2 linked regions of the Oryzias latipes genome follow. The protein of the gene in region 2 interacts with the protein of the main gene of each other region in a biochemical or structural test. Links are inferred from orthologs where the notes say so. Each region holds a gene or a part of one and is shown on either strand. Other genes may lie near its edges.

Region 1 (4,227 bases), on a different chromosome or scaffold from region 2:
GTCAACCACACACATTAGATAGAAAAAAAAAAAAGCCATCATCCTTATTCCGTACAAAAACACTCGCTAGTTTCAACAATAGTCAAATAAAAAATGCAAGAAACACTACCTAAGTCTAAGAAATATAAGGTGAGGGCATGCATAAGGTAACTTGAGAGGCTAGAGCAGACAATATTAAAAGCAGAAGGGTTCTAAACCTACACAAGGCCTATAACATCAGAGTTGGGCTGTTTGTAGAAAGCCTTGTCAGCAATCCTAGCACACGGGCAGGCAAGAAGGCAGGAAGAGAGGGAGGGGAGAGCAGTTAGAGTGAGAGAAAAGTTAGGGGGGTGATTTTGAAGAACTGACACGAGCTCTGATGAGGAGGTTTTTCATATAGCTCAATATTAAAACATGTAATTAGAATTCAAATTTTCACAATCGCAAATGTCTGTTTCAAAGAGCCGTAGTATAACAAGGAACATGTCCTTTCTGCTGTTTGCATTCTTTCAACTCCAGCAGCTTCCTGTGTTTGTTTCTTGGTATTAATATCTCATCAGAAAACTGTCGGTCAGTGCTTTGAGGGGAAAAACAAAAAACAAACAAAGCACAATAATTGAGCTACAGATGCAGAATGATACCGTGCCAGAGATGGACAGAGTCTGTTGGAAATTGTGAGAGAAGAAAAGGTTAACTTGGGACAAGATGAGGAACACTTGATGCAGTTTTTGTGGGTGTATATAGATCAAAATAAAAATCCAGTTCTGTACATTAAACAAAAAAGTAATTCATGTTTAACTGATTCTAAGAGTCTATGACCACAGATTCATTCTAAGGATCATTTCATCTGAGAACAACAGCGTTTTTCTGAACATCTTTTGGTTATAAAATGGAAAGCTTTAGTGTTAAGTAAAGTTTCATTAACAGGCGTAACCTGTTTGCACGTCAGCAGAGGAAGGGACCGACCCTCACCTGTTGTTGGCTTTATTCTTCTCCATCTGCTCATTCTGGTGTAAATGCCAGTCTTCCAGCTCCTTCTTGGCCTTCTCCCTCCACTCTACCTCTGCTGCCTTAGAGGCTGAGTCTAGTTTGGTGAGAAAAAAATTATAATAATAATTTAAAAAAAAGCTATATGATAGAAGAGTAAAACTGTGTTGAAACTGTAATTTTCGTACAAGTTCTAACAACTCATACTGACCTAATGCTTCAAGGCGGGCCTTCTGTTCCTCCCTCCACTTGCGTAAACTTTCCGGTTCTTGTCTCTGAATATCCACCTGGGCGATGGCTGCATAGCTGTCAGTTGGGCCATTGGACTCCTTTAAGAACAAAGCGAAGCATTTGCTTAATCGCACACAGCACATCAAGGATCATTCATGATGAAACCAAATCTTAAATTCTAAGAATTCATGACTTTATGTGCGGGAATCTTGTCATCCAAAAATACGACAGCTGTTTGACGATACAAAGAGACGGGCCTTTTATAAGACAGAAAGACTTCAGCTCACCTGAAATATTTCTCCATTTACTGCAGCGATTTCCTCTTCAAAGCCTTCTAACATGATGGGAAAAGAAATGAATCAAGATTTGAATGAAAGCCGTCTCCTTGGAAGTCGCTCCTTTCTTCAGCCCGCTCTAGACTGAACTGAGTGTTAGCTTCAGTATCAACTTCTTGAAACGGTTGAGACATCAGGAATGAAGCAGTACCTGTCTGGGCACTGATTTCATCTTTGCTCCACAGACTTATAAAAAGAAAAATGTTCAAGTTTAAACAAAAGCCAGGGAAGCATCTGATGAGGTAGTAGTTATACACATTGATTCTACACTTATTTAGTCTCTTTTTTAAACAAATATATTTTTCTATTCAAGTTACAAATGATGGACGGGTTTATGACATTAATAAGCCTAAATGTTTTATGGAAAATTGGACAAAAACTTTGAGAGGTTACAGAAATTGACATTACACGTCAAGAGTATAGTAGCAGTGCTAAGAAGATGTCATTTAAATTAGCTTAAACAACATGTTCGACACATTTGTTGAAAGTTATCACAGTTTTTAATTACATTTGACATATGTTGACATAAACAGGTGGATGTTAAACTGAATTATGGCTAACTAACTGTCTCCGGTTTGAAAAACAAACCATTTTGCATCTGCTAGCAAAGCTACAAAGCTAACGTTAGTAGTTGTGTTCATTTTTGGAGAAAAAGCAATTCAACTATTACAAACTTTAAACTTGTTCATTGTTTCATAAAATTGTGATTGCGCTTCATATGAATGGGGTGATTTGTTGGCCAGTTTATCAAAATCGCTGCAATTATTTGCTCAACAAACCAGATAAATAGTACGTTTGAATGCTAGCTAATGTTAGCATTAGCTCAGACATCAACTTACCATAGTTTACGGTCTGCGGGTGAGACGCCTGGACACTGTCCGCGTCTTCCAGCGCCCCAAACCCGTCATTATCATTTTCAATCCCCGCTATCTCACTCTCTTGTTGGGCCAGAAAAGCTGCAGCCGGGTCCTCTTCAGTCGGGTGTGCTCCGTTGTCAGCCATCTTTTACAAAAAAAGTGCAAGTTAGTTTAACAAAGCAAGCCCGGTAGCTTCAGCAAGCTTTAAAAAAAAAAAACTATACCGGAGTTCTACAGGATTGAAAATCTGGATTGAAGTAGTGACTGAGCCACCAACTAATCTTGGCAAGACACTGCTTAAACCACAATAAGCAAATAAACCGTATGTAACAAACAATAACAAAAGGCTTCAAGCTAAGGCCTACGGTGGTGATTCATGATTTCTCCAATACTGTCATGATAGAACAACGGCAGCAACCCGGAGCTCCCACGTTTGTTGGAGTTTGTCTCCATCTGCTGGCGATACATGGAATTGACCAAAAAGGCAGTTTGAATGGTTTTGCAGTTTTGGTTAAATTTGTTTACTTAAGTAATGTCAATTATGTTTAGATTTTCAACATGTCAGATAACTGAGCAAAACGATGGTTCAATTCAATTTTATTTGTATAGCCCACATTTTTGCCTGTAATGTTTGTAAATAGTTTTTTAAATTTACACCACCTTATTTGTTTATATTTATTTTGTTTTTATATAATTCTATTTTCTTTTATGATCACACAAATTGCACAAATTTCCCACGTGTGGGATCAATAAAGTATTTCTGATTCTGAAAACAGTCGTCTCAATGGGCTTCGTGGGCTAAAATCAAAAGGATCATGAGTACATAGAATTCAATGGGAAAATTCTAAACTGAACTAACTAAACAGACTAAACTAAACTGGGCATCCCTGCCCTTAGACCCTCTTTCGCAGGTTTTCGGTTAAAGGTTTAATCTAGTGTCAGAGCTGGTTAGTTTTAGAATACGCTTGAGGCACATATTATTGACTTCTGCTGCAAATCAGAGTCTAGTTGGTGTTAGGAGGCAAAGTTGTTAAAAGTTTGCCTTTTTCATGAGTAGGTTTCTTTTTTAAAACTGGATTCTACACAAATGTTGCCCTGTTTAATCAGAAGTAACAGGAGAAAAAAAAGATGAAGGCAAATGATAGTTAAAAAAAACATGTTTGGCTTTATTGCATTTTCTAATTCGATTCAATCTGCTGCAGCAGGAGAATCTTATTTGGCACAGGGTGTATTTTATTTTGAAAGAAACTAGCATGTGGTGTCTATGATGTGCTGCTGTTAAAAGTAAACCAAGTTACTTTTTTTTAAGTAACTTTTTTACTTTTTTTTTACCCATCAAAATGCAGGGAAGAATTTCCCCATTGTGGGATAAATAAAGTATCAATTATTATTATTATTATTATTATTATTATTATTATTATTATTATTATCAAAGGCTGCCTGTCAGGTGTATTTAAAATAGACACAGAGACATCCACAGGATTGTTTCGAGCTTATTTTTTCTATTGTAATTTTAACTTCTTCCAAAAAGATTTGTATTTAGTGACACTCCCACATGCAATGCTTCAATGTGCCTTTAAATCCACATTTTGCACAAACATCTGGTATGTTATTATTATATTTATTTAGTTGCACTTGTGTAGTATACAAACGCATTAACCATTTAACCCTTGTGCTATCCCAGGCACTTTGACATTGGGAGTTGGGTCATCTAGACCCACTAGACAGTGCTCTGAACCTTTTTTCTTCAATGATTTGTGATCTTCACTGGCGTCCATGGATTACATGAAAGCTTTCCACCTTTATCCACCTTTGTCATGGTAGGGAGAACACATCAA
Region 2 (3,571 bases):
AAGCAGCCTTTTTTGTGGGCCCTTCCACCAGAGCGGACGCCTTTGCCAAGCGCTAAGGGGGCGTGTCAGTGAGCTGGAGGCGGAGCTCGCCGAGCAGAGCCACCTGAGGATGCAAGCGGTTGGAGAGAGCGAGTTCCTGAAAGCAGAGCTGGACGACGTGCGTAGGGTCCGGGAGTACACGGAGAAGGAGCAGAGAAGTCTGACCGAGATTGAGAGTAAGGCTAGTGCTCATATGTTCGTTTTTATTCATTTTATTGACAAAGAGGGTAAAAGTCTTTGGTAAAAACGTAATAATTCAGATCAAACGGACTCAAAGAAAAGCTCCTAAAATGAGTTACAATCTCGTTTTTGTCTGTGTTTACCAGAAAAGGCTCAGGCCAACGAGCAGCGCTACACCAAACTGAAGGAGAAGTACACAGAGCTGGTTCAGAGTCACGCAGACCTGCTGAGGAAGGTCCGAGGAGCTCATCCCACCATTTCACCTTCAGGAGAGCCTTCTGCTCCTCAACATGAGGTCACATCCCCATCACAAGCTTTCTGTGTCCACTCTAGAACGCAGAGGTGACCCGACAGATGACTGTCGCTCGGGCCGCGCAGGATGAAGTGGAGGTGTTGAAGAAGGAGATGCAGGAGAAGGTGAAGGCTGTGCAGGATGTGGCAGACAGGCAGGTGAGGATGGGATGACTCTTTCGCCATGCTGTTGTCTGCCGTGGGGTCTGTGAACGCCATGCTGTCTCGCTCTTAGGAAAGGGAACAGCAACGACAGCTTGAAGACATCCAGAAAGAGCTGGTGTGCACCCGGGAAGAGCTGGATACCTTGAAATCCTCCGTGACCTCATCTCAGCAGGTCTCCTCAGAAATAAATACACTTAATGTAAAGGGAAAAACTAGCTTTGCTGTGTTCTTTGTGTCTTCAGTTCTTAAAAACCTCCCATTATTTTCATGAGGCTCCTTGAGGTGGCCGTATGAGCCTCGAGAGGAACTGCAAGACACCCCTAGTTCTTCTTCTTCCCAGATTAATCTTAGGTTCACCTGTTTTAACAGTGTTCTGTTCCCTGTGCAGTCCAGAGAGGCGCTTAGCTCCCAGATGGCAGCTCTGGAGTCGGAGAAAGCCGAGCTGGTGCAGTCAATGTCGAAGGTGGAGGCAGAGCTGGAGGCCCAGAGACAGGAGCTGCAGCGAGCCCAGAGCTCACTGGCGACTGAGAGAGAGAGTGGGGTGAAAGCCGCAGAGGCCCTCCAGAATCAGCTCAACGAGAAGGTTCGACAGTCTCCAGACCAGAGGAAGGCGCCGTTTAGCAAGGGCCTACGTTGGGCCTGATGGAGAATGTTCATGTCTACAGGAAAGCAGGGAGCAAGCGCTGGAGAGCCAGCTGGTGGCGGCTCGCTGGTCAAGCCTGCGAGGCGCAGTGGAGGAGGCAGAGAAGATCGTTCAGGACTCCCTGTCTCAGATAGACGACCCGGCTCACATCAGCTGCACCAGCTCTGCAGGTGGGAGGCAGAGACTGATCCATTCAAAACTGGAGCAATCTTCGGTGCACACTTTCATATGCTCATCCGTTCTGCAGACTACCTGGCATCCAGGTGTCAAGCCTCTTTGGATTCACTGGACCATTTGAATTCTTCCATAAAGACCTTCATGGATGACAACTCAGGTGAGAAACTAAACATCAAATGCCCAGGACAACCGCAAAAACAAGAGCTATGGCTCATTTCTGCTCTTTTCTCCGCCAGCCGTGTTGGAACTAGTGCGAGCAGTTACACGGAGTGGCCACCTGGTGGGCGAAACCATTGTCCAGGGCAGTGCCACCTCTCACATGGTGCCTGTGGAGAAATCTGATGGTGAGCGTTGCCGTCCTCTGTGGGCCATGCAAGTCTTTCTGTTGAAATCCCACGATGCATTTCTGTCAGTCAGCCAGTAACTTGGAATTTTCTGTTCCCACTCGTTGCTATTTCAGTTGAAAGTCTCTGCACCATTTCCACACAGTTTCCAGAACTCTATTTGAAAAAAACTGCCGCTTTCCCCCCGCTGACTGAACAGAAAAAGAAAAAAAAATCTCCTTGGAGAACGACAGGTCTTCCAGCTAAACAGGTCCACTGCTTTCTCCGCTGTTTTTTCTGGCTGCTGGGGGTTTGATGGGAGAGCCGCCAGGCTTCCACGTGCATCTGGCCTGCAGTAGAACTAGATTTCATGTCAACACTTTGAAGCATTTGCATGTAAACGTCTCTAAATGCCTCTATAAACAAGTCTACATAACCAGCCCAGTCTTTGCCCTTACATGGATAATCGCCCCGCTCCTCCATGGGAACCACAAAATGCTTCCATTCTTTCCCTCATTGCTGAATCTGAGCCAAAACAGGAGAAGCAGAGTCGTTGTTTTGTCCCCTCCCTCTGGATAAATTGAGACGAGTCGCAACATGTCCACATATGTGGCAGACAGACAAAAAAACAATTATGTCAGGCTGCATGGTTTGGGTGGAACTGCTCTTGGTTTGTGAGGCTCGGAGACCTCTGGACAGAGCTTTGATTTGACCCGAGAAACATCTGAAGGCGGAGCGTCCGCCTCCAGGTGGTGCCCAGTCGCTTCTGTGGCAGTCGTTTTTGGATTAGTCACCGCTGCCCTTACGGGGGGATACAGGCTATCTGCGGGCCAAAAAAGGGCAAATCTGTACGGGGCACTTGCAAACTTTGAAGATTGCCTGGTAGCCCGCAGAGTGAAATTGTTCGTGTACTTTTTTTTAACGGGCATGCTGTGGGCCACAGGTTGCAGCAAACAAAATCTAAGGATGACATTTTTGAGATGCAGGGGTGTCATATGGATTTGCTTCCTGCGCAAGGAACCCAAATAAGGAAATTGGAAAATCAGAGTGTAGTTTGTGTAGACAACTTACAGATGTCATACGGGCACTTACATGTCTTTCTCATAATATCATTAAGGGGCCAGTGCACGCACCGTACTAATGACTAGAGTTTGCCGTAAGGACACCATACAACAGCATCACCCATTTGTCATAAGTGAGCATAACTTCCATTATCCTACTGAATACAGTCAGGACCTTAAATATTTGGAGAGAGACACATCCTTATAATTTAGTTTCTGTACATAACCACTGAATTTTAAATAAAACAATTCAGATGCCATTGAAGTGCAGACTTTCAGCTTTTATTTCATGGGTTGAACAAAAATATTGCATAAACACATGAAAAACTAAAGCATTTTTTAAACACAATCCCTTCATTTCACGCCCATGAAATGAAGGGATTGGGTTTAAAAAGTTCACTGTGGTAATGTACAGAAACTAGATTAGAAAGATTATATCTCTGTCTAAATATTTAAGGTCCTGACTGTACATCACAATACACTTACCACACGCATGACGATGGTACGTTCCATTTTTATGACGTCCCTTAAGGTGGCTGCACGGGCCGCAAAGGCGTGACACGCCTACGCGTCCCTTGGTCTGGGTCGCACTGGTGGCAAGGCCATCAGAAGGATATCGCCCCAGTAGCTGCAAAAGGTGACACAAGCTGATGACAATATCTGCAGTTGGAATTTTACGCCCGTAGTACAAT

The links.
Region 1: the proteins of hip1 (region 2) and cltb form a complex in vitro, tested with the Homo sapiens proteins (2 studies listed by BioGRID, with this or other methods). The link is inferred for Oryzias latipes from reciprocal best matches to the Homo sapiens genes HIP1 and CLTB.

Annotation. Positions count from the first base shown.
Region 1 is NC_019868.2:19,549,723-19,553,949, reverse strand, and holds the start of cltb (clathrin light chain B), read right to left. Parts: upstream 2,816-4,227; 5' UTR 2,614-2,815; intron 2,535-2,613; coding exon 2,372-2,534; intron 1,532-2,371; coding exon 1,485-1,531; intron 1,296-1,484; coding exon 1,178-1,295; intron 1,064-1,177; coding exon 952-1,063; intron 642-951; coding exon of another isoform or gene 621-641; intron 256-620; coding exon 202-255; intron 1-201. UniProt on the Homo sapiens protein: Clathrin is the major protein of the polyhedral coat of coated pits and vesicles.
Region 2 is NC_019871.2:22,388,630-22,392,200, reverse strand, and holds part of hip1 (huntingtin-interacting protein 1), read left to right. Parts: intron 1-31; coding exon 32-215; intron 216-365; coding exon 366-454; intron 455-552; coding exon 553-669; intron 670-745; coding exon 746-847; intron 848-1,063; coding exon 1,064-1,258; intron 1,259-1,340; coding exon 1,341-1,488; intron 1,489-1,565; coding exon 1,566-1,652; intron 1,653-1,731; coding exon 1,732-1,839; intron 1,840-3,571. UniProt on the Homo sapiens protein: Plays a role in clathrin-mediated endocytosis and trafficking. Involved in regulating AMPA receptor trafficking in the central nervous system in an NMDA-dependent manner. Regulates presynaptic nerve terminal activity.